Linked DNA regions of Oryzias latipes. The protein of the gene in region 1 binds, or shares a complex with, the protein of each later gene. Links are inferred from orthologs where the notes say so. Each region holds a gene or a part of one and is shown on either strand. Other genes may lie near its edges. The genes, in order: immt, c4h19orf70, MICOS complex subunit MIC26 and MICOS complex subunit mic25a-like.

What was found.
Region 2: immt (region 1) and c4h19orf70 share a complex: the UniProt entries of both Homo sapiens proteins name them as parts of the mitochondrial contact site and cristae organizing system (MICOS) complex. The link is inferred for Oryzias latipes from reciprocal best matches to the Homo sapiens genes IMMT and MICOS13.
Region 3: immt (region 1) and MICOS complex subunit MIC26 share a complex: the UniProt entries of both Homo sapiens proteins name them as parts of the mitochondrial contact site and cristae organizing system (MICOS) complex. The link is inferred for Oryzias latipes from reciprocal best matches to the Homo sapiens genes IMMT and APOO.
Region 4: immt (region 1) and MICOS complex subunit mic25a-like share a complex: the UniProt entries of both Homo sapiens proteins name them as parts of the mitochondrial contact site and cristae organizing system (MICOS) complex. The link is inferred for Oryzias latipes from reciprocal best matches to the Homo sapiens genes IMMT and CHCHD6.

What each region holds. Positions count from the first base shown.
Region 1 is NC_019868.2:4,708,483-4,715,696, reverse strand, and holds part of immt (MICOS complex subunit MIC60), read right to left. Parts: intron 7,159-7,214; coding exon 6,969-7,158; intron 5,903-6,968; coding exon 5,758-5,902; intron 4,420-5,757; coding exon 4,327-4,419; intron 4,141-4,326; coding exon 3,985-4,140; intron 3,838-3,984; coding exon 3,704-3,837; intron 3,062-3,703; coding exon 2,955-3,061; intron 2,707-2,954; coding exon 2,571-2,706; intron 501-2,570; coding exon 371-500; intron 250-370; coding exon 26-249; intron 1-25. UniProt on the Homo sapiens protein: Component of the MICOS complex, a large protein complex of the mitochondrial inner membrane that plays crucial roles in the maintenance of crista junctions, inner membrane architecture, and formation of contact sites to the outer membrane.
Region 2 is NC_019862.2:7,383,089-7,390,956, forward strand, and holds c4h19orf70 (MICOS complex subunit MIC13), read right to left. Parts: upstream 4,250-7,868; 5' UTR 4,127-4,249; coding exon 4,098-4,126; intron 3,756-4,097; coding exon 3,599-3,755; intron 3,432-3,598; coding exon 3,371-3,431; intron 2,533-3,370; coding exon 2,435-2,532; 3' UTR 1,919-2,434; downstream 1-1,918. Other genes in the region: hsd11b1l (hydroxysteroid 11-beta-dehydrogenase 1-like protein), read left to right, coding at 7,711-7,841; spinb (spindlin protein B), read left to right, coding at 757-962. UniProt on the Homo sapiens protein: Component of the MICOS complex, a large protein complex of the mitochondrial inner membrane that plays crucial roles in the maintenance of crista junctions, inner membrane architecture, and formation of contact sites to the outer membrane.
Region 3 is NC_019875.2:2,471,523-2,478,029, forward strand, and holds MICOS complex subunit MIC26, read right to left. Parts: upstream 3,307-6,507; 5' UTR 3,283-3,306; coding exon 2,689-3,282; 3' UTR 2,199-2,688; downstream 1-2,198. Other genes in the region: eif3f (eukaryotic translation initiation factor 3 subunit F), read left to right, coding at 108-178, 768-847, 932-1,069, 1,152-1,243, 1,415-1,551, 1,664-1,777, 1,960-2,040; protein PIH1D3, read left to right, coding at 3,832-3,930, 4,003-4,069, 4,874-4,973, 5,112-5,208, 5,550-5,635, 5,815-5,944. UniProt on the Homo sapiens protein: Component of the MICOS complex, a large protein complex of the mitochondrial inner membrane that plays crucial roles in the maintenance of crista junctions, inner membrane architecture, and formation of contact sites to the outer membrane.
Region 4 is NC_019865.2:2,284,514-2,292,305, reverse strand, and holds the start of MICOS complex subunit mic25a-like, read right to left. Parts: upstream 5,174-7,792; 5' UTR 5,061-5,173; coding exon 4,977-5,060; intron 3,680-4,976; coding exon 3,595-3,679; intron 1,990-3,594; coding exon 1,887-1,989; intron 1,190-1,886; coding exon 1,048-1,189; intron 1-1,047. Other genes in the region: E3 ubiquitin/ISG15 ligase TRIM25, read right to left, coding at 6,014-6,722, 6,862-7,029. UniProt on the Homo sapiens protein: Component of the MICOS complex, a large protein complex of the mitochondrial inner membrane that plays crucial roles in the maintenance of crista junctions, inner membrane architecture, and formation of contact sites to the outer membrane.

The DNA.
Region 1 (7,214 bases):
AGCATCAGGCGCCGCAGCTTCAAACCTTTCTTTCTTGCTCCAGCCGGGCCTCCTCCTTCACGTGCTGCAGTGAGGAGCTGACGGCCCTCTCCAGCACTCTCTGGTCCTCCAGCTTCTGCTGCTGCAGAGCCGCATCGATGTGGACCTGCTCCCGGACTCTCTGCTCTGCCAGCTCTCGGTTCAGCTGGTCGATCCGGCGGTGAGCGTGGGCAATCAGGGCGTTCAGGTCGTCCGTGGACAGCTTCCCCGCTAACAAAAACACACAAAATGGTTCAGTTCCTTATTCTACAACCATTCAGCTGGTTTAGTCTGCCGGGTTTTTGTGGTACTAAGATGTCCAAGTTAGAGGATGAAGGTGAGTCTGACTCACTGAGGCCTTTCCAGTTGGCTTGGATCTCTGGAGTCAGGCTGCTGACCTCCTTCTGGAACTGCTGCTTGGCTTCCTGGACCAGGTCACTGTACTGGGACACGATCTTGGACTCCACCTCAGCCGACTGCACCTGCATACAGATCCTTTCTATCACCATCATTGTCCTGGAGACGGCTTCTTAAGTGAGGCTGAAGAATGACCACTGCTTCTGGGATCAACACCTCCCAACATCTGTGAGCAGCTGAAAGCAGGGCGTTCCCCCCGTTTGGGCCTGACTCTGCCTGAAGATCTGCTGGATTTGTGAACCATGAGGAGAAATCTGCATCCAACTTACACCCAAAAGTAAGGCGCTCTTTGACATACCATGGCTCTTCAAACTCTATGAGGAAAACGTGCGATTTGTTCCATTTAACTACTAACTTAAATATGAGTCAACATGACTTCAATTATACTCCAAATGAAACTAGTCTACATGGGAGGCGGGTATCTAACTTAAAAAGCGTCCATCTGATTGGTCAAATGCATAAAGGGATTTATTTGATCCGTTGAATACTTCAAGCTGCCATAAGATTGTTTTAGCACGTTTAAGGTAACCATTTATTGCGTATTGCAAAGATTGATATCGCAATAACGATACATTTGCGATTTATTGTGCGACCTAATAATTAGGATTTTGACATGTTGGCATTAAGCCCTTTTTTTTTAACTGGATGGACTGATGTGGAGCTGGTCATTGTGGCTCAGACGCACCTCCGGCTCTCTGTCTCCACCACTGTCAAACTCAAACTCAGAGAGAAAAGCCTTGTGCTGTGGAGACGCTCTGGAGGGTGTACGGATGTGCTGAACGTACAGAAAACTCTCTCCAAATAGTAGTGGGCATCTCGGTCCTCTGCATGTCCCTCTACTGGTAACTAGCAAAGTCGCTTTTAACTCGCTACCATAAATGTTATTGTTCATATTTATTTGACGGGGAGAAATACAAAAAACACAGATCATTGCATTGAGACAATCTGATGCCGGCGTTCAAACGTCTCCCTCCTCTCCTCAGCGAAACACCAGACATAAAGCCCCCGCCCCCAACAGGCCGCCTTCAGCAGCTCTCTGCCATTCACGGCCCAAGAGACGGCGTTTGATTGCTTAACTAGTCCAACTATTTTTGTTTGATTTTTTCTGTGCTGCCGCTGACAAAAGGAATTTCCCCATCGTGGGATTAACAAAGTCTTCTATTCTATTCGCTGTGAATTGGGTCTACTGATGATTTAACTGCGGATCAGTCTAAGGCGGGGCTTAGACTCACCGCTTATGGTTCCAGACCCGCAACAAACTAACAGCTGCTTCCTAAAACTTAATAATAAGTAACAACTAATGATATTCTTCCTCCATACAATTTATATAATTTATTGGGTTTACTGGATTTAAAAAAAAATAAAGAAACAGAAAGGAGTCCGTATCAAAGTGAATTTGTTTCCATCATCTCACTTAACTTAATTTAACTCTGGGTGTTTGACAGACAGAAGTCCATTCAAGGTTGTCGAAAATGGACAAAAGATCAAAGGAAACATCACGCTCATAAAGAATAAAAATACTTAAATACATATCCTGTCTGGAACTTTCTCATGTATAAAGTAAAATGTTTTGTTAAAAAAACAATGTCGTTGCAAAATGAGGAAATAAAACACTTTGTTCTTAATTTGTTATTTGTATATTTATTTATTTTTCTTCCTCATAAAGTATCGATAAGAATGTAGTTAAAATACCGGATCGATAAGCAGTATCGATAAGAGTAGTAGTACCGTTACAACCTTAACGATACCCATCCCTATTTGCCACTGTGCACTTTTTGTTTCAACTTAACATAAATTATAAATCCTCCAATTTATGCTGAAGTTTGACTTTATTACTATTAAAAACTTTCAGGGAAATCTTTATTTCACTTAAAACAAAACTAAAAAATTGCTGCTGAGCCTGTTGCTCCCTGCACTTCTAGGAGGAGCTATGTCTTTGGTTGTTTATTTACCGGTACTTGTTTTTTGAAATAAACTAATTGTTTGTGTTTGTATTCTTCTAAATTGTAAAATATTGTCACCTTTACTGCAAATAAATATCGCCTCCAAATACTGATTACCTGCCTCCTTGAGTAATAATGTGTCCTCTAGCCTGAGACCGGGTTAGAGGCAGAGAGAGCAGAGCAGCTGCTAACCTGAGCCACGACTCTGTCCAGGTCCACCACCATCTTATGCAGGTTCTCTTCAGCTGCCAGGACCAGCGGGCGGACGGCGGCCACCTTCAGGTCTTTGGAGCCGTTGATGGTGGCCCTCAGACCATCCAGAGCTTCCCTGCAGGGACGAAAACACAGCTTCAGGGGACGGCGGCGCTCTGTGAGCGGCGGAAGGACACGTGCACACGCCTGAGTGCACGCTAGGAAACGAGGGGAATGTAAAAACAGTCCGACAGCTGGAGATGTTCTGCTGTTCTGAGGCCCAGAACGGCAGAGGAGTGCTGCTAAAGAGCTCAGGAACCAGCAGACAGCAGAGGTGACCTGAGGTCAACAGGGTGACATGTTTTCGGGGTGGGGGTAACTTGCTTGGCTTTCTGAAGGGCAGCTGTCGCGTCCGTCACAGCAGAGGTCCGGTCCATCAGAGCAGCTTCTAGATCCTTCCACTGGACGGACTTCTCCTCGGGAGGACTCTGCTGGGAACAGAGTGTCAGGTCACTGAACTCCTCCCTCTAACGAGCCAATCACATTCCAGAATGTTCCACTGCTGTTGCACCTTCTGTTAATCAATAATCCACATTCGTTTTCAAACCTCTATACCGTAATTCAATCTGAATAAAATCAAACCTCATCATGACAGGTTTTATTTTTGAAATGCTAATTTCCTCTCAGCCCTCCATAAAAAAAAGATGACAGACATTTTCTGTCATCTTTGGAAAAGCCGTGACAAATTTAAAATCCAGAGTTTATACTAAGAAGCTTTTGTCTACTCTTTTTTTATGTTGCTGCTGGAAGCTTGATTGGAAATGTTTATGGAGCATTTTTGTGTGTAATTTTGCTGTTAAAAAGCAAAATAATAGTCTCTGCTAAAATATTTAGTTGCTTTCATTTTAAATTACTCTCTAGAATCCTTTTAATTTATTATTATAAACAAACCTGAGCTTCCATTAACAAAATGATTCATTTCCTTATTTAAAAACTCACAAAAAAAAAAACAAGAAATCTCCCAAATGAATCAGGAATCCATTATCCAAGTAACGATGGACTCCTTTTTTTTTTTTGGGTGGTCTTCCATGACACTGACCACAGGCCCCAGGCCGCTGAGGCCATGGCAGTACCTCTGCTTCCATGGCCTCCTTCAGCTTCTGCGTGTGCTGGTTGATGGCCTGCAGCGCCGCCTCCTGGGCTCCGATGGCCTGCAGCGCTGCTCTGGCTGAACAGGCCAGAGATTCCTCCAGACTGCTGGACACCGCTGGAGAACGGCAAACATCAGACAACCGGCATGAGCCTCACGGTTCTGTTGGAAACTGTCACAAGTCGGGCGTCTGCTGAAGACCCCTCCCACACTGAGGAGACAGTTGAGGTTCTGCCTCAGAGAAATCAGGTTCTCGCGTCAAACCTGCTAAAACGTTCTGCTCATCCTGGTCCTGTTGGGCCAGACGGGCCGACACCTCCTCGGCCGGACGCTCCACCAGCTGTTCTGTGGACCCGGCGGGCGAATCGGCGCCGCTGTGGGCCGCCTCTGAGCCAACGTGGTGACACTCGTCGCAGTGCTCTGAAAAAGAGAGCGCACGCTGAAGAGCGTGCACGTGGACCACTGATAACAGCAGCAGTCAGCCCCCCCTCCACAACTATTTACTGCTAACAGTGACCCTGCTAATGGTAACCATCAACGAGTAACAACTCCCCTAGCCCTGCAGTAATCTGATTACTCTACACATGTTCCTGCTGGGTGATTTACCTGTGACCGCTGTGGGTTGGGTGTCAAACGGCGCCGGGACTGAAGGGACGTCGCTGCTGGCAGAGATGATCTGGGTGGCCTCGGCTGAAGCTCCTGGAGGAACAGACAAGGAGAAGATGAAGGTGGAGTGGACCGGTCGTGGAGAAGGACCTAAAGGTCTGACACAAACTCATCCTGAGCTCAGGATCTGTCCTTCAGTGGAACATGGTGTGTGTGAAAGGACAGGCTAGGATCTTCTCTGTCCTCTAAATCCTTGTTTTTCAACCTTTTTTGAGCCACGGCACACTTTAACCATGACAAAATCCTGCAGCACACCAGCATCCAAAAATGACAAAAAAAGAGAAACTCATAGTCTGTATTGATCTACAGCACCTCCACAATCACACGTGCATTTTTGTGATGATTGTGGCAGAAAAGCTGGAAGCTGCAGCTGTTTTTTCTAAAAGATGTAATAAAAGTTAAGTTAGAAGATTTAAAAACTGTTTGATGTGTGTTCGTTGTGGTTTCAAGACGTTAAGAGGAGAGACTCATTGTACGCTGAGATGCTGTCACTCTAACCCAATGCATTATGGGTGATGTAGTGATGTCAGACAGACTCACTTCTCTGAGCTTCATTGTTTTGTTCACCTGTTCCACGGTCTGATACCAGATTCTGTGGAAAGCTACACCGCTAAAGACGAGCTTTAGCTGGAATTTTTGTTAGAACTGAGAGACTTTAGGAGCAGAATCAGAACAAGGAAGTGAAGAGTTTAACCACTTCTGATTGGTCAGACTGATGACATTTGATTAAGCCTCCAAGAATGATTGGTGGAGACAGTTAAAGGGGCGGGACTTTTTCAGAAATCAGCTGACGCTGCGGCTAAATCGCAGTACCATCATTCTTATCAAAATGTCTTTAATAGAATCAAATAAACACAAAGAAAAGTCTTTTATGATCTTTCATATTCCTAACTACTCAGTGTTTTATCAGGGCCTGTTTGGATGAACAAAGAGCTGATTTCCTGGAGATGGGAAATGTTTTTAGATCAGTTAATGAGGGCAATTTCCCACGGCACACTGGTTGAAAAACACTGATTTATATAGTATTGTGATATATATCTGTATTTGTGAGTTATGTTTTTAAGGTTGTGGAATATTTACTTTCCACCCCACCCCCCCTTCATGCCTCTCATTCTGCCTTGAAAAATCCTAATGGGAGGATCTTTGACACCATTTCTCGTTCTTTGCACACATGTTTATCTTTGTACGTGTCTGCCTGGTTAACACAACTTTCTGTGTGTGGAGGTTTTTAGAACTGATGCCCTTCCCACAGCAAAGCCTTCAACTATTACGCTTTGGATTCCTCACAAACCCTCTGACGGCTGGTCCTCGTGAACAACGGCTCAGAGGGTCTGTACCTGCTCAGCTGCAGGTTCTGGTTCCAGAACTCACCCTCCATGGTGACAGCAGGGGGCGACACGGAGGGAGTGGGCTCTGTGGACCCCGTTTGGGCGGCCCCCTTTACTTTCTTCTCTGACTGGACCTTGGAGGTCTTGGCTTGTTTCTCCAGCATGGATTGAGGCCGAGTGGACTCCAGCTGAATGTCAGGAACAGGCATAATTGTCAAAATGTGGCATTAAAATATGAGTCTAATTAATCATTCATGCATCATCCACAGCAAATCCTCCGTCTAACCCCCCCCCCCTGCATCACCCTAAGTCACACTCATGTCCTCCTGCACTACAGCCGTCAGCCTCCTCTTTGGTCTTCCTCAGGTGAGTCTTTCAAAATACATAATCACAGATAATTGTTCCAAGTTGCTTCAAAATAAAAGGCAGAGAAACTGTCCCTCAAAAAATAGAGAACTTGTGGTAACACAGTTTAAGAAAAAAGGCTGCAGATAGCGGTTATTACATCCGTTAGTGGTTAATGGGTGAACTTTCTATGCTTAATCCTTTATTCTCAATTCAGCAAACATTTCATTCACCTTGTAAAACAACAAGAAACCACTTTTAAAAACGAGGATGGAGTTTTGAACGGTAAATAAAATGCAACAAATCCTTGAAAATCAAAGCATTATAAATTCTTAAACAATCATAACAATAGGTGAGACCAAAACTTGACTTTGTCCCCCCAGTCGCTCGTTGTTTTTTAGAATGTTTCTGAAGTGGGCGGGGCTAAGACTGGTCCACCAGCTCCTCCCACTTCAGAATCCTCTGGGGTCTGAGTCAAGATCCCATAAACCAGGACCAAACCATCATAATAAAACACATGTGTGGCACGTTCAGGAAAAGCGCTTTTAGCAGACGGCGTCCGATGTCTGAAAGTCTTGGAGACAATATTTTGGCCAGGCAGCAGTTGGCACTTCTGTGAATTAAAAAGGGTCGGCATCCATGAAGTCCATGATTGTTCAAAGTTCAACTGGTTGACCTTTCAACGGGCGATGAGTGGCTGGGCGTTTGGTACATAGAGCCCAAAAATGGGCTTAAGACATGGCGAAGTGATGCGTGAAGGTGGCAGCCCAAAACATGCATTTATATAGACTTTTCATTGAAAGGGGTCACTTGAATGCATGTTTGCGAGGTCAGTATCAACATGGCACAAGGACTGGACCCACAAACGGGTTTGGATCTTCTCAGTTCTCCATCTGTGCTGTTGCTCACCTGCTTTCTGATGGGGTGGCCGGCATTCTGAGGAGCAGGTCCCAGGACTAGACCAAACACCGAGTCGGAGTAGGGAACGTTCTTCTCCACCGCTGCTCTGAACTTGGGGTCCCACTGGGCGTACAGAATGGTGCCTCCGACCCCTCCACCCACGCTCAGCAGGCTGGCGGCCACCACCTTCGCAGCCCCGCTGTGAAGAAGTGAGGGCGGTAGGTGAAGCTCCAGAGATCCCCAACGATGGGAGCG
Region 2 (7,868 bases), on another chromosome or scaffold:
GGACCCCCCCCCATCTCCTTACGCTCTCCTGTGTGGGAAGGCTTCAACTTTGTTGTCAGCATGAAGGGGAAAGACGATTGGAAAAGTCGAATGCTGTGTGTCGACATTATTATACAGACATAGCGTATGCCACAGTAACATGTAATCTACTAACGCACCTAAAACTGCATCACCTGACTGTAACAGTCGGGTGTACAAGAAAAAAAAAGTGCAAGTTAAAATGTTTGTTTTTTCCAGGCCAGTGTTAATTATCCAAAGTTTTTGTTTCCTGACAGCTAATAGTTGTATTATTTTATATAGCAGATAACCTACATAGGTCCATTTTATATATTTTTATGTAAAACCAATAAATGCACTTTGCAAGTCATTTTGTTCTGCCTTTTTTGTACCAAAAAACCACTGAAAATGTACCGAATCGAATTGAGATTTTAGTGTACTGTTACAGCCCTAATGATCACTAACGGTTACAAATGAATCACGTAATTACAGAACCTTCCAAAAATTAGAATATCTTTGAAGTGAAGTATTTATTTCCACAAGTCCTTTCAAAAATAGACTTTCATAGAATAGATTCCGAAACGTTTCCACACAGACAGAATTGCATCACTTCCTGTTTTCCAGTGCGATTCAAAACAGGTCTGTCAACTCCTTGACGATCTCCCTGCATTTCATCCTCACAAAAGGGAAACAAACGGATGTTTGGTGCCACAAAACCGTTTGAGGAGCGTTTTTCTCACCGTCTTTGTCATTTCTCAGAAAACAAGCACCTGCTGCCTGCAGACAGAAAACCAGGGGAGGAGACGGAGAGTCTGGTGGGGAAGCAGGTGGAGTACGTCACCGACAAAGGGGTGAAGAGGACGGGCTTGGTCATTTATCAGGTGCCAGCCAAGCCCTCCGTGTACTACATCAAATATGACGATGACTTTCACATTCATGTTTATGACCTGGTCAAAACCAACTGAACGTGATGGACACTTTTATCGCACCTTGTTTGCTTTTTGTCGTCCCATCCGTCTTTCTGTTTAAGAAGAGATGCTCAGCTGTGTTGGCAGCACAGTTCGCCGTTTTCAGTTGGAGTTGGGTTCTTTTTATTTCTTTTCACGAGTCGTTAATTGAATCAAATCTGCACTTTGTGGCTTTTGAAAAGACACGAACTCCGAATAAAGGCCTTGACCCCTCCCCAGAGAGCAGCCCCCTAGAATGGCATTGATAGATGGTAATTGTCGTCAGATGCATGTTTTCCAACCCGTTGCTCCATATTTAGTTGCGACATTCCCAGCTGCGTTTAGCGATGTCTGCTTTGCTGAGCTTCTCGCCAACACTCCCGTGTCGGAGGTATCACGGACTAGAAACCCGTCTGGATGAAGACAGCAGCCTTGCGTTTGAATGTGAACACCCCCACATCATCAAAGTGCCTTCTGGCCTGTTGGAATCAGTTCGTTGCCCCTGACAGCCGCTCTTTAGTCCCCCTCCCTCAACAGCGACACTGACCCCGTCAGGAAAGCTGTGCAGCCGTTGGTTTGATGGGAAATGCATCCTTATCCATTGTATTCTCTCACTGTTGTGTTGTGAGGAGCACTTTATTGTGTAACGTTTACATATTCAGATTCAAGTAAAGGAGGAACTCGTTTCCTAGAATATACTTTTTTTGTTTTAAAAAACTGCAAAATGCTTTAAATGAAGAGGAGATAGTTCTGCTGGTGTGTACATTCTCTGTATGATCATAACAACATCTGTAGTAAACATGTGGACTTCCAGCTAACAGACTATTGTAACCGCCACAGGAATTCTCGTCTTGTACTCTTATATTTGCTTGCAGAAGTGATTTCATCAAACTTAATGTGATGAAACCGCAGTTCTTTAGCTCTTCGGTTCTGGATTTCTCCGTTAAAGTTGCATGAAACAGTGAAACCGTGCCTGAAGTTAGGAAACTTTATTTCTACATGTGGAAATAACGAGATTTAAAACAGACACTAAACATCAGAGCTGGGGAGCCCTGGAGGTTCGGATGCTCAACTGACGCTTTGGTTTCCTGTGTTTCGTGTCAATGTTATGGAACAAATAAAGTTTTTGTGCATATGATTGGTGTTTTTTTTATAGACATTGTCATGACCAGAACTTGAACATGAGACACTAAAGAAGGCATGAAAAGGTCAACTAGAATATTTACAACTTTTGGACATTTAGACTGAGAAAAAACCTTGCTTGGTGGGTAAAATGAGTTGGTTTACAGCAAAGAAGAGGTTCTTTAAATACTTCATTTCCTTACAATAAGCTCAGTCTTCATTACATGCCTCTTCATAAACAACTGCTTTTCTAGGGCTGATTTAGGAGTAGTAATGTGTTACCATAACCTTCCACTTGGGGAGGAACGAGGCTGAACCTCTCCAAAGTGAGCTGTTGAGTGCAAAAGTAAAACTGATACCGGGGGGGTTCACTTGAGGAGGTCTTTCACAAACTGAAACCCCTGAGTCGTCATTTCACTCGCTTTTGTTGGAGCTTCAGAAAGTCTGGAAATCGTCCACCGCACTCCTGCAATTAAAAAGAAACGGTTTTCAGGTCTCACAAGACAAATTTAAGGAAAACTGAAGGCGAAAGCTGATTGAAGACGTGCACACAAACCCAGGTGGCTGCAGATCCTTAAAAAGTCTCATGTTTTGTTGAACTACAATAAAGTCTTGTAAAGCATTAAATTGTCTTAAGGTCCCACTCGGATCATCTGTTGATCTCTTTTCAAAGCGTTCCCAGTGTTCTTATTGCCATTTTTAGTCTAAAAACCTGTCATTTTCCAGGACAGTTTCTGCAGGAGCTCATTTGAAATTCCCCTTTGAGTTGTGGGCGGGACTTTTGGTAAGCCTTCCCCCACTTCCCATCATCAGTCTCTTCAGCTAAATTCTTACGAACAGGTTTTAAATTTCTCATCGACTGATGTGACCTGTCACCCAAAAAAAAAAGAACATTTCTGGGATGCGCTGTGTCATAAGGTTATTAACTGGTGGTAAATCGTTTCACCTCTGCTAGCTTATTAGCTCGTGCTCAGCAGTGTGTGTCTTGGAAATAGGGATTAGTCGTAGTGGTTAAACTTATAAGTGGAAATCTTTATGAAGCAAACTCTGCGGTTTGCTGAAAGACATTTAAACTTTACATAGCAAGGATCATAGCAATGGAATCACGTGTAGAGCAAGAAACCACAGACTCCCAACTCTCTGTTTCTATTTTTGTGCATATAGGGTCTTAAATTTTAAAATCCTTAAATTTCACTTGAGCAAATCTGTAGACCCCCTGCAAACACAGAGGCACAAACTCAGCAGTGAAATGACAAACTGTTTCTCTTATAGAGGAAAACCCAAAAATGTCCGTCAGCTCTTACCAGAGTTCCACGCCTGGACCGGAGAAAATTCAACGTTAGGGATGGTTGGAAGCTGAGTCTGCTGACAGAGAAATAAAAAGAGGAGGTTGTGTATTAGTTAATGGGACCAGTGAAACTTAAGGGATGCATTAATGTGCAGATCTATAACGGTCCTCTTTAACCCCAGGAGAAGTCACCAAAGACCAAACAAACCCAAAGACCTCTCACTCAAACCTAGTTTGTTTGTACCTGAAGACCGAAGTACTTCATCCACTCCTCAATGGCGGGGGGGACAGCGGCTCTGGCCTTCTGTAGGGCCTCAGAACCTTGTTCGCTGCCCCCCAGCAGCCCGGAGTCATAGGCCACATACACAGCCCCTCCCGCTATGCCCACCTTGGTCGCGAGTCTGCAGGTAATCAGAGTCCATCATGAAACGCAGGTCATCAAAGATCGTTGAGACAGAGATGATAACACAAGTAAACATTTTAAAACGTTGGTTTGACAGAGAAACTAAAGGACTTTAGAAACTTCTCAAGACGCGCTGAGTACAAATGAGTAAATTATAAATGAGTAAATTAACATTCAGTTTTGTGGATACAGATACAGAACACATAGTTTATATTAGAGTTAGCTAAACAGGCAAAGAACATTTGTTAGCTTTGCTAGCTAGTTTGATTAGCTAGCTAGTCGGCTAATCCCGCATTTAGCATCACTTCTCCGAACATTTGTAAAGTAAAAATGAACTAACTTCACTACAGGCAAAAGCTTTGTCGCCATGATCCACGGGTAACCGAACTATCCCGAAGCCACGACTGTGACCTGAAAGAAGTCAAACCTAGCAGCTGCACTGAAGGACAAGCCGGATTCTTGTCCTGTCAACCACAGCTGTGTTAATAAAGTTGGATCTTGGAAACTTAGTTCCGCTGCAGAGCAACACATTCGTTCTGCCTCACTTTCTAATGCTTTATTTTATTTAACTTTTTAAATCACAGGTAAATACTTTTTAAATAAAAATGTTTAAAAATTATATCTAAAAATGAAAAATGATTTTTCAAAGGGGTGTGTCTAATGTGAAGTTCACGCCCAAATCGCAAGAAAAACAGTGAAATGGGGCGTTTAACAGATGTACTTTTTTCCATGGGACCTCCCTGAACTTGTCTGAGAGCAGTGTTGCCAAATGCAGCCGTTGTATAACCACAGATCAGCACAATTCCACAAAACCCAGCAGTCAGACCAGTTGCTGCTTTTTCCAAAATGGCTTTTACTAAAGTCTTGATAGTCAGTTTATGTGTAGTTTTTTTAGCTGTCAAGTGGACTTCACCCACTTTTGATCCAGGTGAGCAGAAATCTGTTTCATTTTTTAGTCAGTCTTATTATTTAAGGGTTTGAGGCTCAGGGTGGATGTTAGTGGACCTTCTGGGGCGTGCATGTGTTCCTAAAACCGCATTTTGCAGAAATGATCAGTCATTTTTCGCAGTTGGGTTTCTTTGTATGCTTATTTTAATTAATTTTTAATACTCATTGAATGTTTCCTGTTGCTATCATTAATTTGGAGTTATCTACCATTCACAGATTTGTGTGCCATGGCAACATAACGAGGATCATAAAGATAACATTACCTTTGCTTATTGGCGAATGGGGCCACAGGTTCATGTCTTTACTTGCATATTGAGCTGACTATTCCGGTTTTTTCCCCTTTGCTCTAAATAGTCAGCTCAAACATATATAAATAGGATGAAATTGTGAACATTTCTGCACTGAATTAATTTACCTATGCACAATAATGTTGCTGAGGGTTTACTATTCCCTCTGGGAAAAGTGGGAGTGGAAACCAGGTAAACGGTTAGAATCTGCTTCAGTGGCTGAGAGGCCTGACCTCAGCGAGCGCAGCTTTCATGCAGAAAAGCTGATCAGTCAGTTTTCATGCTATCCTCTGGTAATATCACCATCCTTAACAACTGTAACAAACTCCAGCAGCGCTCAATCAGAGCTCAGGGTCACAGGTTGAAACGTGTTCTGATACTATAGGAGGTTCTGTGAGCCGCTATCTCTTCATGGGGCAATTATAAACGCCGCATGACTGCGGTTGGATCTTTGTACACTTCTGTGTTATCACACATATAAGGACCAGTTGTTATCAGTCAGTTCAGGGTAACATAAATGTTTTTTTAGATCATCATCATCATTTGTTTATAAAGAACCTTCCACCACTAGCCAAGGAGACCCAAAGTGCTGTACACATGGAGAACAAAACAAAAAACAATTAAAAGCACAAAACCAAATTAAATCCCTGTAGGGACATAAATAGAAAAGAATAAAAAGCATAAAACCAATTTAAGAGAGATTAAAACCAGGGTTAGGCTGATGCTAAAGCGCTGAAATGGAGAAAAGTTCTTTTTTTAAAGTCATCTATAGCGTGACCTCTCTAATTGCCGGTGGCAACTGATTCCATAGTTTAGGATCCAACACAGAAAACCCACCGTCCCCCCGAAAGTTACTTTTGGTTCTGGGAACCATTAACACAAACTGGTGAGGGGAACGTAAGGACTTTGGAGGGGAATATTTTAAAAGAAGACTGGAGAGGTAAGAAGGAGCCATACCTGCAAGAGACCAACATTTTAATGAAAAGCAAGTATTTCACTGGCAGCCAGTTCGAAGAGGCCAAGATCGGTGTTATGTGGTCAAACTACTTTGCCCCACAAATAAATTTGGCTGCTGCATTTTGAACCAGCTGCAGGCTATTAATGCCTTGGCTAAGGCAGAATATAAAGAACTGCAATAATTTAGACTAGACCAAACCAAAGCATGGGTGACCATTTCAAGGTTAGTTTTTGATAAGAAGACTTAATCCTAGCCAGACGTCACATCTGAATAAAGCAGGACCTGATCACAACCTTTATTTGGAGGTGAAGCTTCAGAGCTGCATCAAGTTTCACACTCAGGTTTGTGACCACAGACTGTTCAAAAGGGGCAAGAGAAAGGAAACCAACACCATGATCTTTTCCCCCACTAGGGGTAAACACAATTACATATTTTGCTTTCATTTAGGCCACGACCTATCTTCAGCAAGGCAGTCAATTATTAAGTTAATTGTGCGGTCAGGTCCCTTACATACAGGGACATAAACTTGACAGTCGTAAACATAAAGGTGAAAGTTCCCCTCTTGCTACCGGAACAGCATTCCCAGTGGCAGCAAGTAAATAGAAAATAACAACGGGCCAAAAACCGACCCTTGAGGGACCCCCCATTTCAGGGGGTCACACTTGGATGAGTGAGGACCCATTCTAATGCAGAAAGACCTAAGGTAAGGTAAGACCACATCCACTGTAGGGCTTCCCAGGAAAGCCCCGCCCACTGTTCCAACCGGCCAATTAGGATCTCATGATCAACTGTGTCAAAAGCTTCAGATAGATCCAATGATAAATGAACAACCAGTTCATCTGCCATCAGAACATCATTAAAAAGGTTTTAAAGAGCCAGACCTGAGCCCTGACTGTACAGGTTCCTGGATTTCATGTGCGTTTAAGAAAGTGACCAACTGTTTAAAGAGAATGTTGTCAAGGACTTGAGCACAAAAATGTGGGTTGGATTTGGCCTATGGTTTGAAAAAAAAGGAGAATCGAGCATTTGTTTTTTCAACAGTGGTCTCACTACTACCTGGTTAAAATTGAATGAATCCTGAGAGGACGTCAGCAGATGAGATAATATCAGCATAAAATTGTCTTCTAGCTTTTGTGACAGCTTCCTCATAGATGTAGAGTTGGTCTCTAAGGAGATCATGGGAAATTTGGAATCTGTCCTTCAATTTTCTCTCTGTCCTGCAGTCTTGTCTCAAGCCACGTATTTCCTCAGAGACCCAGCGTTCAGATGTGTCCCTTGTTTTTTTTTATGGCAAGGCAATCTCATTCAAAATTTTAGAGCACAGCAATTCAAGCATCTGTGGTAATCGGGGATGAGCATAAAGTCGGCCACTCCAGCGAAAATATAGCCAAAAATTCAGCAGCTTTTCCTTTGTCGAGGCCCCGCACCCATGTGACAGGAGCAGGTTTGGGGGCAACATTGAATGGCAGAACAAAGTCGAATAAAACCGCTGAATGGTCAGAAAAGGCAGTATTTACAGTCTTGACCGAGGTGATGAGAAACCCAAAAGACAGAGCTAAGTCCAGAATATGTCCATGACTGTGTGTTGGGTCAGAAACCCACTGTGCAAGACCAAAAGAATCCAACACGTTAAAAAAGTAATTGACGAGTGGTTTGTCAGGGCAGCACACATGAATGTTTACATCAACACATGCTCATATTTAGGCAAAAAAGTGTACAGCAATTCGGATTGATGTGATTATTGGAGGAATTCCTTCCAGAGTCGATCAGAGGCGCCAGAGTTCTGGTGACGGGGGCCAGCACAGGTATCGGGGAGCAGATGGCCTATCATTACGCCCGCTTTGGAGCCCAGGTAGTCATTACAGCCCGGAGGGAGAAAGTTCTGCAGCAGGTCAGTGACCTTCACCATAAATGTCAC
Region 3 (6,507 bases), on another chromosome or scaffold:
TAAACAAAACAAACAAAAAAGAATTTTAGCGAGTGAATTGTCATGAATTATATACATAATACAAAGCATCTATATCAATAACGGTTTAACTTTTTTGTCGCTTTCAGGTACAGTTGACAAACACTCAATTGAGGTGACGAACTGCTTCTCTGTCCCCCACAATGAGTCAGAAGATGAGGTGAGTGTTAAACATTAGCGAAATTTAATTGTTTTGCACTTCAACTTAAGGTTAAAAATGTCTCAAACTTTATTTTCTCTTAAAATCTTGGAGAAAGCTTGTACCTATAGCATGATGAATCATATTGCATTTAAGATGACTTCTGTGTTTATTTGAATGATCGATACTTCTGTACTTCATAAATTTATGTAACATTTAACAGGATTTGTTTGTATTTGTTGCCCTTTTTAACACTTGCAGCTTGTTTTGCTGTGATGGCGTACAATAATTCTGCTGCTCAGAAATGATCAGTAAACTAGTTTGTCTGTCTTCAACACCTGAACTAACAAACTGAAAACTATACAAATGTGTCTATCCTCCTGACTACCAGCAATACAAATGTGTTCGGCTGATCCTTTTGCATTCACCTGATGCTGTGTCATCAACGTTATGCTTCATGAGGCGACTTTAAGAAGAATACGTTTCTAGTTTGAAACGGTGAAAAAGTTACTGCCACAATCCTATTTGTTTTCTCAACACACCTCAAATACAATGTGCACGTTCCTCCTTTTTTGAAGGAGTGATCTTCTGTCTGTCCTATTGACAACAGGTCGCTGTTGACATGGAATTTGCAAAAAACATGTATGAGCTTCACAAGAGGGTGTCGCCCACAGAGGTCATCATCGGATGGTGCGTTAGCCGTTTGTATCCGGATACCTATACTCAACAGCTAAAGTTTTCAGATACATTTAAAAGGTGACCTTTTTCCACCAGGTATGCCACAGGCTTTGACATCACTGAACATTCTGTGCTCATCCATGAGTATTACAGCCGTGAAGCCTCCAACCCCATTCACCTGACTGTGGACACGGCATTGCAGAGTGGCAAAATGAACATCCGGGCCTATCTCAGGTAAGCGGATCTGTGCTGCCAACTTGTGTCGTCGTGTTGAGGTTGAGAGGAATCTAAATGTGTTTGTGTATGTCTTACACAGCGCACAGATGGGTGTGCCAGGAAAGACCGTCGGCGTCATGTTTACCCCACTCACCGTCAAATATATCTATTATGACACTGAGAGAATAGGCGGTAAGCAGAAGATACTCTGGTGGTAAAAAGTCTTACTTTTGAGTTATTGGGTTAAAAAATGTTTGTCCCCGTTTCAAATGCACTTCAGAAATGTATGTTTGCGTTTGTAAGATTTGTTCAAAAGCAAATGTACATTTCTATAGCTGGACTTGAATATTTGTTTGTTTTTAGTGGACCTTCTTCAAAGGACACGGGATGCTCCGAGTCGCTCCAAGGGTCTGACCTCTGACCTGTCCCAGGTGGGTGGAGCTGCAGCCAGGGTACAGGACATGCTGACTACGGTGCTGGCATACATTGACGATGTGTTGGTGAGTATTAAGGCTGTCACAAAAAAAATAAAACAAGAAGACATCCTGTGTTGGCACATATGACAAAGTGAAGTGGGTGATCTCTGGTGAAAACCTGTTGGATCTGTTCCAGTCTGGGAAAGTGGCAGCAGATAACAGCGTTGGCCGGTTCCTCACAGACCTGGTGAACAAGGTGCCGACCATCCCACCTGAGGACTTTGAGAACATGCTCAATTCTAACATCAATGTAAGTGCTTCCCCTGATACTGTAATTACAATTTGCATGAGGTTTTTTTTTACCCTTTTGTACTTCTTGACATTGTGAAGATTAAAAGATACTAGCATCTGTACGACTGTGGAACTGGAATTGTTTCTGTGAAATTCAGTTGTGTGTATTTTCTACATGGACGTGCTTGTGGTTTGCTGCAGGACCTGTTGATGGTGACGTACCTGTCCAACCTCACCCAGGCACAGATTGCCCTGCACGAGAAGCTGGTGCTGCTCTCCTGAAATGAACTATTTAAACTTTCTTATTGTTTGGCTGAAGCAAATAAAATGTTAAACAGTCGCATCATGATGTTTTCTTTGGGGTGGGGTGGATCTTACATATAAGAACATCTCAAATTTAAGTTTACCACTAATTAAGAAAACATGTTGAGTATTTGTGACAGTGGTATTGCGTGTTTATTCAGCTTACATTTACTCTTTGAGGTTTCAAAGTGACAATAGTGTTTAAACTCTTTATTTCAGATTATAAAGAGGATTTGGTCAAATGCACAGAACTCTTAAAGTGGAGGAATAATTATGAAAAAACTTTAAATATATTTACTTTGTATTTCCTCAGTAACTTCATTTAGTACTTTTTGTCCTATTCAAGTAACAGTAGACAGCACGTGAGACTCCGTTAAAGTGTTTCAAGTTCTTTTATCCAAAGCAAAATATTGATCTTTATCATTAAATATACATTCAAATCCGTAGCAGAGGTCAATTATTAAAGGCAAAGTCTGGCCTGAGTAAAGCATGAGGAATAGTGCAGACATCAGAGTGGAACCTGTCCAGGTCCATCATCTACAGTACTAGAAAAGCTGCTGCCGCGTGATCCGTTATTGCTGCGCGGGGACGTCCGTCCGTCCGTCCGTCCATCCATCCATCCATCCGTCATGGTTTCGTCTCTGCCTTGCTGCCTTTTCCGTCTTTGCTCTGCGGGCTGAGGAGCTTCTCCGCCGCAGCGAAGCCCCGAACCGCGTATCCGTACACCGAATCCCCGGTTGACTTTGCGATGGTCACCGCCTCCTCCGGGTAGTACAAGGAGGCGCTCACGGTCATCAGACCAGCGGGGTAGATTAACTTCTTAACCCTGGAGCCTCTTGCGAGGAACAATCCGAGGAGCCCCGTGAAGCCGATGATCCCCGCTTGCGCGTAGAAATCCTTGGGATGGTTCTGCAGGTAGACGTAGGAGTCATTTCCGGACTGCACGAGACTCTCCACTTTGGGTTTCAGTTTACCGACGGTGGCCTGACACCATCCCGTGTAGGGCTCAACTAACTTCCTGAGGGTGGCGACGTGCTCCTCAAGCTGCCCCGCCGCTGGCTCCACATAGTGAGGCTTTTGAGGAGCGGTGTACAGGGACAGGTCATCCAGCTTTAACCGGGCCTCGGGCTCTTTCTCCCCACCATCTGCGGCATCAGCAGCCCAAACGAGCGGCAGCAAGCGCGTGGATCCCGGCATGGCACTACCTGTCACCTTGAACATGATCCCTGAGGGCCATACATCAGCTACGGTGTCCGAGAAGGGACACAAATCATGACGCCGCCTCCCAGATATTTGCGTTCGTTTTGCTTTGACAGTAAACTTGTATTGTAAAATTGTATTTGTTCATTTAAATGAATATAAAAATAACGTGATTGAAGTTGTTTTTTTTTATGAACACGACTTTATATTCCATTAAAAAAATCTGATTGTTGGATAAAAAATATTCTAGACTCTTCCTGCCTTAAGTTAAAAATGTTCTAAAAAAAGAAATAATGTTACAAAAATGTTCTTTAGTCAGTTCATCTTTGCTAAAGAAATAAATTTTTTCTTTTCTTTTTTTGTTGGTTTCCATGGCAGCCTGAAACCCATTTGTTTCCATGGTGACGAGCGTCAACGTTCCAAACGTGCAGTTAGCATAGCAGCTGCGAACTTTAGTGTCTGTCAGATATTACGGTCGTTGTGGCCTTTTTTTGGTGACTACATTCTACACCTAAACAAGGCTAGTGTTAGTTTTAACATCCATCTTTTGAATAACACGTTTTCTTTCCAATGGATTATGTGGGTTTATCATCCGAGGAGACCCTCAGGGCTCTGTCTGCCCTGTTATCCACCAAGCAAGAAGACGAAGAGGAGGAGGAAGAGGATCAAGTGAGATTTAAAAACACTTAAGCAGAAAGAGAGAATGAGGAAGTATGTCAATACTTTTTTTAACCTCACCAGAGAGTGACTCCATCTGCACAGCTGGGCCCTGGACAAATTGGTCTCCCTCCACAGAATTCTAAAGAAGGTAAAAGGGCAACATTCAAGTTCTGGGTCTCATTCATGTTTTAAAAATATACATATTTGTGCATTACAAAACAACGACAAAAAACACAAAAAATTGGGAAAATCCCTTTTTTTAAATTTGCAGATAATGCAGAGAAACCCTTTATGTGGCTTATACTGAACCTAGTGTAATGCAATAAAGCAACAAACACTAAGGATGTCACAATTACAAACCAAAACCGATCCGTGTGTTACACGGCTGAACTGCATCATTGGTCAAGTGAACCGTTTCATCTCTACTGCGTACCAATATGGTTACGTTGAAAGTGTCAAACGTATTGTGCTAAATTGATGAAGAATTTATTGTTCATTGTTGTATTGCATGTATTTATTGTTATATTACATTACACAAGGCTAAGCTAAAACCATCTGAAAAGTTTTTCTTTATTGTCATTTAGCAATTTAAAAAAAGGGTTTTTCAGAATTTCTTTTGTTGTTGTTGTTGGTCTGCAATACACAAATCATGCAAGCAAGCAAAATCGTGACGCAAAAATTGAAATTTAAACTGAATTGAAAGTGTATCACTGCATCCTTAATAAACAGTAAATCCCTCTTAAACGTAGCATAACAGCTGGTATGCTGCAGGGATGCAACATTTCACTTTTCCCATGATTAGGTTTTATGGCGTAACATACTGTTCAGTTTTTAATAAAGAATTGTGGCATCTCTATTGAATATTCTTTATTGTTTATCACAAACCTTCTCAAAATGTGTCATTCTGAGGCTAAATGTGAATGTTAATGTACGTGTGACGCTGCTGACACAGAGCCAAGTATAAAGAAGAGCAGCAAGGATATCTGGAGTGAGGAGGAGGTGGCTGAAGGCTCTCGATTCATGGACTTTGCTGACCCGCGGCCACAGCCTGAGTGAGACTCACTGCTAATAAAACATACTTTTGAGGCAGCTTGTTTCACTGGAAATTGCTTATTATTATTGAAAATTGTAAGCTTTATTCTCCAGATCATGTGCAAAGTGAGTGTTTTATATGCAATATCTGTGTACAGGTATGAAATGATCCTCAAGCAAAGTGTGGGAACAGAAGATGTGTTTTTTGGCCTCAGTGGGAAAGACCCCTCCTCCATGTGCTGTGAAGCCCTGCTGGTCCAGTATTCAGTTTTCTTTTATTGTCTTCAAATAGCGCAGAGTGTCATTTTTAGTGAATTCCAAAAAGGAACAAAGCATAATCTGAAAACCACTTTTTAAAAGTGTGACAACGGAGAAGACATTGAAGAAAATACGTCCAAATGAGTTTTTCAGAGCACTAATTTAGGAGGAAGACGTTTAGTAAAAGATGTTGCAGGTTCTGTGTTTTGTCAAAATTCTCCTTTGAAACTTTTGTAGTTTAAGTTTAATTCCTCTTTTGAGGCTAAAATTCCATTTGAGCTGCTAATGGACTGACATAAAACTTAAAAATATACATTACACACTTCTGCTGCTTTCAGGTCAAAATTCAGCTTCCAGATACCAGAGCTACAGATGTCGTCTTGGATGTAAAAGAGAAGTTCCTTGATCTGAGGACACCGAAATAGTAGGAAATGCTTGGAAATATTCTTTTATTTAACTCTTATGGATGAGACTTTGCAGATCAGGACAAACATTTCTTTTTATGATATGACATTACTTTCATCCCTACTTCCTAAAGAACTGTGATTTTAACAAACTGTGCTCTCCTTCTCTTTTTTTTCTTCTCTGTCTTCTTCACGTCAGCAAACTGGGCCTCCATCTTCCTCATCCCGTCCACGCTGAGGAGAGCAGGGCACAGTTCTTCAGTGAGAGGGAAGAACTGCAGGTGACTCTGCTGATGAAGCGCTCCATGGATTTTTTCAACATGCAATAATGAAGACAAATATGTGTAGCACAAATAAAAATGGTAACCCACAATAGGCAACTGGTTTCCATAAAACTCTATTTTTAAAAAGCACACAACCCAACTCTAACTAACTTTTTCTGGGCTATTATGGAAAATAAGAAAAACTCAGGCTACAAAAAAAAGTATTGCTCCAAAATGCAACCCAAAATATGAAGAATTATGTTAACTAAACAACCCAAGTGTTTTAGCAGGACACCAATGACACTGTGACAAACAAATACATATTATAACAAATATCATGGGATTGATCTAGTACTGTCTAAGTACTGATTTAAATTAGAAGATTAAAATATTATTCTTTTTTTTTTTTACTAAAGTGAATCCAAATTGATCATTAAAGAATTTAAATAAATAGAAAATACAAACAAGCGAAGTCATCAAGCTCAGAATTGATTAAATATAACTTATATGAACAATATATTGTGACAGTGGTACACTGTCACAATATATTGTCCGTACTGTATTTATATTGTCCGTACTGTATTTAGCTTGTACTGCTAAATACAGTACAAGCAAAAAAGAAAAGTGTT
Region 4 (7,792 bases), on another chromosome or scaffold:
TTTATCCATGTTGGATTTAAAAAAAAAGAGTCAAAAATCACACAAGCTGGTGACAAATAATAAAAGTACTAATTCTGTTATGTCATGTGAACATTTTAAAGTATATTATGCCATAGGGCAGCACTTTTTTTTTTCTGAATTTTAAGTTTAATTTGCAATTTAAACAGTTAAAAAATTCCATATGCAGTGCATTGATCATGGTTACAGTGGGTTTCATTCAGCAAAACCAGGTCAAAAATAGTTGGTTTTCCCACAATGCACTAGGTTCTCTTGCTGCACAAAATGCAAGTCATTGGTCTATGGTCAACTTTGACCTTTCTGTGTTACACAAATGAATAGAAGTGTCCAATAGTCGTGTTTTTTATTTTTTATTTTATTAGGATGGGAATTTTTGGGCAACTGTAAACATCCCGGTAATTGTTATTATACATTAGATACATTTTTAATTAGTTTTAATCCTAGTTAGAATAGGATCCAGCTAACTTCAGCAGATGTTTTTATTCGTTTCTATTTATGTCTCTACAATGTTTTAATTTGGTTTTATGCTTTTAATTATTTTATTCTCCACGTGTACAGCACTTTAGGTCTCTTTGGCTGATGGTGGGAGGTGCTTTATAAACAAATAACTGATGATGGTTTTTATCCATAGATTGTTTTACATTGCTGTCTTGTCAACAGACAGACTGAGATTTGAACCCCAGACCAGCCAATTAGCTAACCGGCTCCTTAGCTTAATGTGTTAGAAAGCTAAAGCTGTATGACATAATGAATAGAACACAATCTTATTAATGTAAGGAAATGTGCTTTATGATTTTGTAATGAGTAAACAGAATGAGCATTCAATAAAAAAAAAGTCTGGTTTCTGTGGTGAAGGAGCAGAAAACTAAATGTCTTTCACAGGTGGACTGGGAAAGTCCTGACCCTAAAGCCTCAGAAAATGAGCTTGAAAAGGCTCAACAAACCACCGAAAATATCTCTTTTACCAACATTAAACTGTCAAAAATGTGTTTTCTGCAGTCAAAGCTCCAGATCCTTTTTTTTTCATACCAGTTGTTTAGTCTTCTCAGACTCCTGGCGGGCGTGTTGTCGTTCCTGGATGGAGGCTTTGGTCTTCTCGTCTGCCAGCTCCTTTTCTCTCTGGGTAATCTTGGCCAGCTCCTCCTTCAGTATCGCCTGCTGCCGTTCAAACCTAAAAGGTTTGGCAAAGACAAGAGTTTGTTTATTCCCAGAAGGATGCATTTGTTTTCTCACTCAGCCTGGTTTGACTCTTAAAAGAAAGAAAATGTCCACAAGGGGGCAGCACATTTCCAGTTTTCAGAGGCCGCTGGATGCAGATCTAAACAAATGTGAGTCACCGCTTAACCCAGAATGAACTTCTACTCATCTAAAAACTTCATACATGTTGCAAATCAGTCTGTTTTGCTCATCTCTTCTCATCTGCCTAGAAGGTTTGGCTTAAAAACCAGTTGACTGAAACCTGTATAAACTACTAGGTTTGATAAATCAATGGCTTTTATACATTTATTTGTTTGTCTTCTTCAAGTTTTCTGTTTTGTTTTGGTTGCTTAAAAAAAAACCTAATTCCAAAACTGGACTCTTCTTTAAGTTCCCCATACCTGCTGGGTTTGGAGGACCAGGATGGAGGACCACAAAGGGAGATGATAAGGGATACATTCAGATTTCACAATGTCTGGTTCAACAACAAAATAATACATAAATCACATTCTAAGTGTTTAGTTCCACTTTTTTAAACTAATAAAAGAACCTTAGAATCGATCCTAAAGCTGACTGGGAGCCAGTGCAAAGATTTCAAAATGGAGATTCTCAGATTCCACAACAGGACTTAGCTCAGAAAAACTTCTCGTCTTCCTTCAGACGTTACCCACCTTCTCTGATCTTCTTTAGCAGTGGACGCTGGTTTGCTGGACGGCGCTCGGGACTCTGGCTTCTGCCTGGACTGAGAGGCAGAGCTAGAGCCAGGAGAGGAACCTGATAAAACAGGGGGGGTCATATAAAAATGAATGTTTTTTTTGCATAATTCTGCATGTTTTTGTGTCATCAGTATATTTCATGACACACACACCAACAGCTATTTACAGGTTTTAAGTCTATTCATACCTGGAAGACGAATCTCACAGGATGCATCGACTGAACTTAACTTCTGCACACACACAGCTACACACAAGATCTGCATGACCAATATTCTTCACCCATGCCCATATTTGGGCAAAAGTGAATATGGAGGTGGGTTGAACAAACATGGTAAATGGCGTATACTAATAAAGCGCTTTCTACCTTCTTTCTAAGGCCCAAAGCGCTTTACAGTCACAGTCCCATTCACCCATGCACACACATTCACACACACACATTCACACACTGTGCTGCTTATAGTGTACCTTCATCACACTGAATGCTCCAGCCCACCCACACCCCAGAGCTAGGGGCAGACCGCGGGCCCGCCACCACAGAGACGGAACCAGAGGGCAAGACCCAGCAACCCCCCGTCAAGAAGTAAGAGAAACAGAGAGCGCGCAGAGCCGGGGCCCCCCGCCAGGGCAGCGACCCGCTCCACCCCAAACGCGACCACGCGGGACTTACAACCGGCACCCAGATCAGAGGCACGCCACCGTCCGGGAGTCCTGAGCCCCCATCCGCCCCCACCCCCGAGGCAGGCCTGGAACACCCATGGCCAGCCCGCACTGCGCAGCCCCGCCGAAGACAAACCGGGGGAAGCGGCAGAAACCAGCGACCAGCAGAGGCCCCAGACAGGGCCAGGGCCCGGTGAGCCCGAGGACCAGGCTCCGGTTGCTGTGAGCAACGATGGAAAAATTGGGGGGGCCCTGGAGTCCCAAGAAAAGGGGTCCTTCCCGCTCCACGGGCGATACTGCCCTACCCAGCTCAGATGTGGACGTCCTCCCCGCGTGGAAAAAGAGCTGCAAGGTCAGGGGCGCAAGGGACCCCTAGCCCCACCCAATCCTGGGGGGGGGGGGACAGGGAACAGTCCAATCAAAATTTGTGGACCCCTATGTGTCTAAAGCCAAGAAAGCCTGATTGGGGGGGGGGGGGGGGGGGGGGGGGGGGCTTTTAGCTGTAATTTATGTATTTCCTCAATTGATAATCATGTTTTTTCCCCAGATTGATCATTTCTTTATCACCCCCCACTACCAACTTGTTCATGCAGAATGACCAAATCTGTATTTTTTCCCACAGCCTCCACTGTCTCTGGAGGGTTGTGACCACCAGAGCGTGGTCCTTACCGGGACGGAGGGTTTCTCAGAGGTGTGATGCCTTTGTGCTCCCATGATGTTTATACCCAAACACTGTTTCAACAACTGATAACTGTGGAACCTTCAGCCTTCTGGGAATTGTACTCAAGCAAGACCCAGACTTTTGTGTTGTGTCGACCAAAAACAGAAAAAAAAAAAACCTCCTGTGACACAGATTCTTGTGTTAAAACCCAGACAGGTGATCGTCTCCACCTGAGACACAAACTTATATGTATCTCAGCTATCAGGACGGGCACTTTGGATGTTTTCAGCAAAGACTTTTCTTGTGGGACACAAAATAATTCACCAATTGTGAAGTGAACTATACCTTTGTCTCCTTGAGGGCCTGAGGACAGTGATGATTGACTGATGTTGGCTACTCCTCGCATCCTCTGAAGAACATCTTCTGACAGCTGGTAAAGAAAAAAAAGAGCTCGCTTAGTCACAATATCCAGATTATAAGCATAAAGATCTCAACTCTGCAATAGCTATAAAAACTCAGAATACCATGAATGTTTGAGGAAACACAGCAGGCCTATTTAATTTGGGCGCCTGCTTGTGAATGGCCCAGGAAAAATGGCTAAAAAAAATAAATAGCTACATGAAAAACCACAGGAGGCAGATCAAGTCTATGAGTCACTGATTCTGTGACTCACAACTTTACATGTGTAACCAGCGTTTCTTTTTCTTTTTTCTTTGTTTAAACAAAGTTTTTTTCAGTAAACTGCAAAAAAAAGACTTATATAATAGCAAAACGTTTTAAAAAGGGGCCAACTACATTGGTATGGGTTTTTACCCCCATGCAGCCATTAAATGTAAGAATTACCTTAAAATTTATTTTTAAAAATGAAATAGAAAAAGTCAGTCAAAACACAAAGAAAGATCTAAACTGCAACCCCTCATTCGGCTGGATGTGTACAGCTAAAAGCTTTTTAAATAATTCTGAACTTCCCCAACAATAAAACACACAGACAGTTATGGTGTAGAAAAACTAATGTTGATTTTATTTGGCTGCATAAATGTCATTTATTACACTTTGCTGAGTGGCCGATCGCTCAATTCCTACTCCTAGTATTGGTCGTGAACGCATCACTGTCAAGCCAGCTATTAAACCAAACTTGATTTAAAATCTGTTCAATTAAAACTGTTAAATTAACACAGAGCCTCGCTTACAAATGTAATTTATTAACAAAACAAATAATAGTATAGCCCAGTCTGTGTAGTTTGTTTTTCATGTTTTATTCGTCCCTTATTTGTTGCTATTATTAGCTGAATTCGATTAAGATATTAGCCAAAACCCAAGCAACATGCTAAAGTCCAAACGCGTCATTTAAAACAATATTTACGCATCAATGTAGATAATATTTGCGCCGAATTCACTATAACACACCAAAGAGTTATGAGATGTGTTGAAAGTTTATGAAATGTTTTTGTTTTGTTGGAAAATAATGAAGGAACGCTAAAAAGCGCTTGTTTACGAACGAGGTTCGGCGTAACCGAAAAGGTCACTTTGGTTCATCCCTGCTGAGCCAGCCCCTTCCTCCCCGTCTGTCCTCACCGTTTCGCCACTTGTTTCGTGGGTTCTGGACGAAGCTCTGCCTTCGCTTGGAGTACATTTAGATGTGGAGGAGACATCTTTCGGCGGGGAGTCAGCGCTCCACACACCCTATTAGCCTTATCATCACACGCTAGCAGAAGTAGCATAATTACCTTTACTCCGCGAAGGATCCGGACTCTGTCCTCCTCATCCACGCCATAAGACACTTTTCTGGTCGTACTTTCCCCTAAGCCCATGCCGTTTGTTAGAATGAGCCCCCCCTCTTTAATGAAAATACTGATAGTACTATCAAAGAATTCCGTTAAGCCCCTGTCCAATGACAGAATGTGTGACAGATGGGATGCGGGTTGCCAGGTTTGCTTGGAAATGTCCCCAAATGACCCGATGTTTGCGTGTAAGTGCAGTAACCTTTTCATATGATTGATTTTTATTTATTTATTTTAAGTGAAGCAGCAATTTTTTTTAAACATTTCTTAAAAATTTAAAAGTTGCAATACTTGCAAAATACTTTAGTAAATTTAGGGGGTTATCATCAGATTTGGCAACGCTTACACCATATGCTGCATTTTATACAATTTAATTAAAAGTACCTTTAAAAGTAAATAAAAATAATAAATCTTTATGGTAACGATGAGTCAAACGTTTGCCAACAGACAGCAAACATTCTGTTCAAAGTTTATTTAACCCCCAAACACAAAACATGTCTATAATTCTTCTTTCCATGGTGGTTCACCGGGTTAACTTTGCACAATGACATTGACAGCTGGTGCAGGTGCACACGTTTTACTATAGTTTGGAAAAAAAAGAAAATAGGAGACAAAACTAAGACCTCTTTACCAAAAAAGGTGAATCAGCCAGTGTCTATGTACTTTCTATTTAATTGTTTTAACAGAAATGTAAAAAAAAGAAAAAACTGTAAACATGTTTTATTGTATTAGTTGTTTTTTGCTCATAAGTGTAAATATATTTAGAATTATTGTTTCTCAGTAATTCCTCCCCATCAATAAGTCAATACTTTTGTCATTACAAGATTTAAATTAACATTTAGGAATTTAAAACATATGATACACCATAAATGATAGTTTGTGTCTTTTATAAACAAAAAAAAGAACAAAGCTTTCGTGTTAAAGGAATGCCTTGGCTTGTGGATCTCCAAAATGTTCTGTAAAGTTGATAGTGAACAGTCATTCTACATTCCATTATGAAGCGTGATCCAGGAGTCTGGGTTGCTTGAATGAATGCTGAATGCTGGGAAAACGGGTTCTTTGAACACAGCTTTGAAGGTGTAGATGTGCTCTCTGCTGCCTTTGATGCTGTGGAACGTCAGGGTTCCACCCTCATAGTCCAGCGCCATCTCCAGTTTGGTTGGATGAGGCTTTTTCTCTGGAATCACAACATTACTGGAGGAGCTGCACACGGTGAGTTTGCCATTTTTCCACTGGAGTCTCCAAGACACGGTGTTGTGACCCAGACGGCTGTGGTCACCGCGGCGTGGGATGCTCTTGTAGCACACGCCCATGGCCCACATGCAGTTGGGCCCAACTTCCACCACCCAGACGTGCTGACCGCTGGAGAAGCCCTGGCTGCATAGAACCTGCGGCGCACTGGTGAAGCGCTCCGGGTGGTCCATGTAGGGCTGCTTGTTGGAGGTGAACCTGACTGTGCACAGGTCAGTGGACACATTTAAGTTGGGGTGGGCGGTACAAACGTTAAAGGTGAGCTCCTGCGGGTTGAGGAGGATGTGAAGGGCATCGATGAGCCGGGTCATTTCTGAGCGGAAGTCCAGGGTTTTCAGGCTGGTCTGCAGGCGCTTGGTGTTGACTGGAGGGCTTAGGGAGATTTTGTTGGAGAAATTGCTCGTGACAGCATCCCTCAGCTGTTCTTCTATCATCATAAATCTGGAAAACAGGTACAAAAGCACACAGTCCATAAATCAAAACAATAATGAAAGAAGTTTCCTTGTACACTGCAGCGCTTTTGCTCAATCAGTGTAGACACAGTAGCATTTAAGGAGTTGGGAAGGCTTTTGTGCTCTACCTGCGTATGAAGAGGCATGTATCTCTCTCATTGAGCACCTGTGCAGTTTTCCTCTGGATCTCCAGCAGCTGCTGCTGCGACTCCCCCAGTGCGTTCACTTCCAACTGCGTGCTTTTCCTGCGCTGCCCCCTCTCCTCCTCCAACACCGTCAGCAGACGGTCCCTGTACCTGCAGATACGTACGTCCATGTCCTTCATTGGCCTTCATCACTGATGATGTTCAGGTCCTTTTATTTCCCATGAAACCATTACTCACTACAACAGCTATTATAGAAAAGAAAAGACGAAGCCAAATGAAAAACAAATCCATTCACTTATTCCCATCTAAGAAAAGTAAAGGGGGACAATCCTTCCTCCTCAACTGGACTTAACAGCAATCAACATAACATTTTTAAACAAATTCTCTTGCAAATTGAAGAACACATTTAGGTAGGTGAACTCCTGTCATTTAAAAAGGTGACGAAGTCTTTAAAGTCCCACTCTGATTCTATTCTGATTTATTTTCAAAGTCTTCCCAGTGGTCTTTTAATTATGATTACACCGTGGGGGGGGACCTAGGAACACGTGGCGCCGGGATCCAGAAGCAGGGTTCGATGGCTTGGGGAAAACGCTGGGACAGCTGGAAGAACTCGCCCAAGACCGGCCCACCTGGAGAGCCCCCGCATGCGGCCCATGTCCCAACAGGAAGAAACAGGCGAAAGAAAGAAGTAGAAGGAACCGTTTTGAGCCAAAATGTAAAAACGTTTTTTGTTTTTTTTTTAGAACATAGTTTCTGCAGAGCGGCAGGAGTTGTGGGCGGGACTGTTGGGGTGCAGCAACCCCACCCCCACTTTGCATCACCCATCCATTTACGTGCTCCCCCGCTAGCTTACAGTCCCTCCCACCCCCCACCCTAACTTTACTGGTTCCACAAAAAATGGCGAGCAATATTG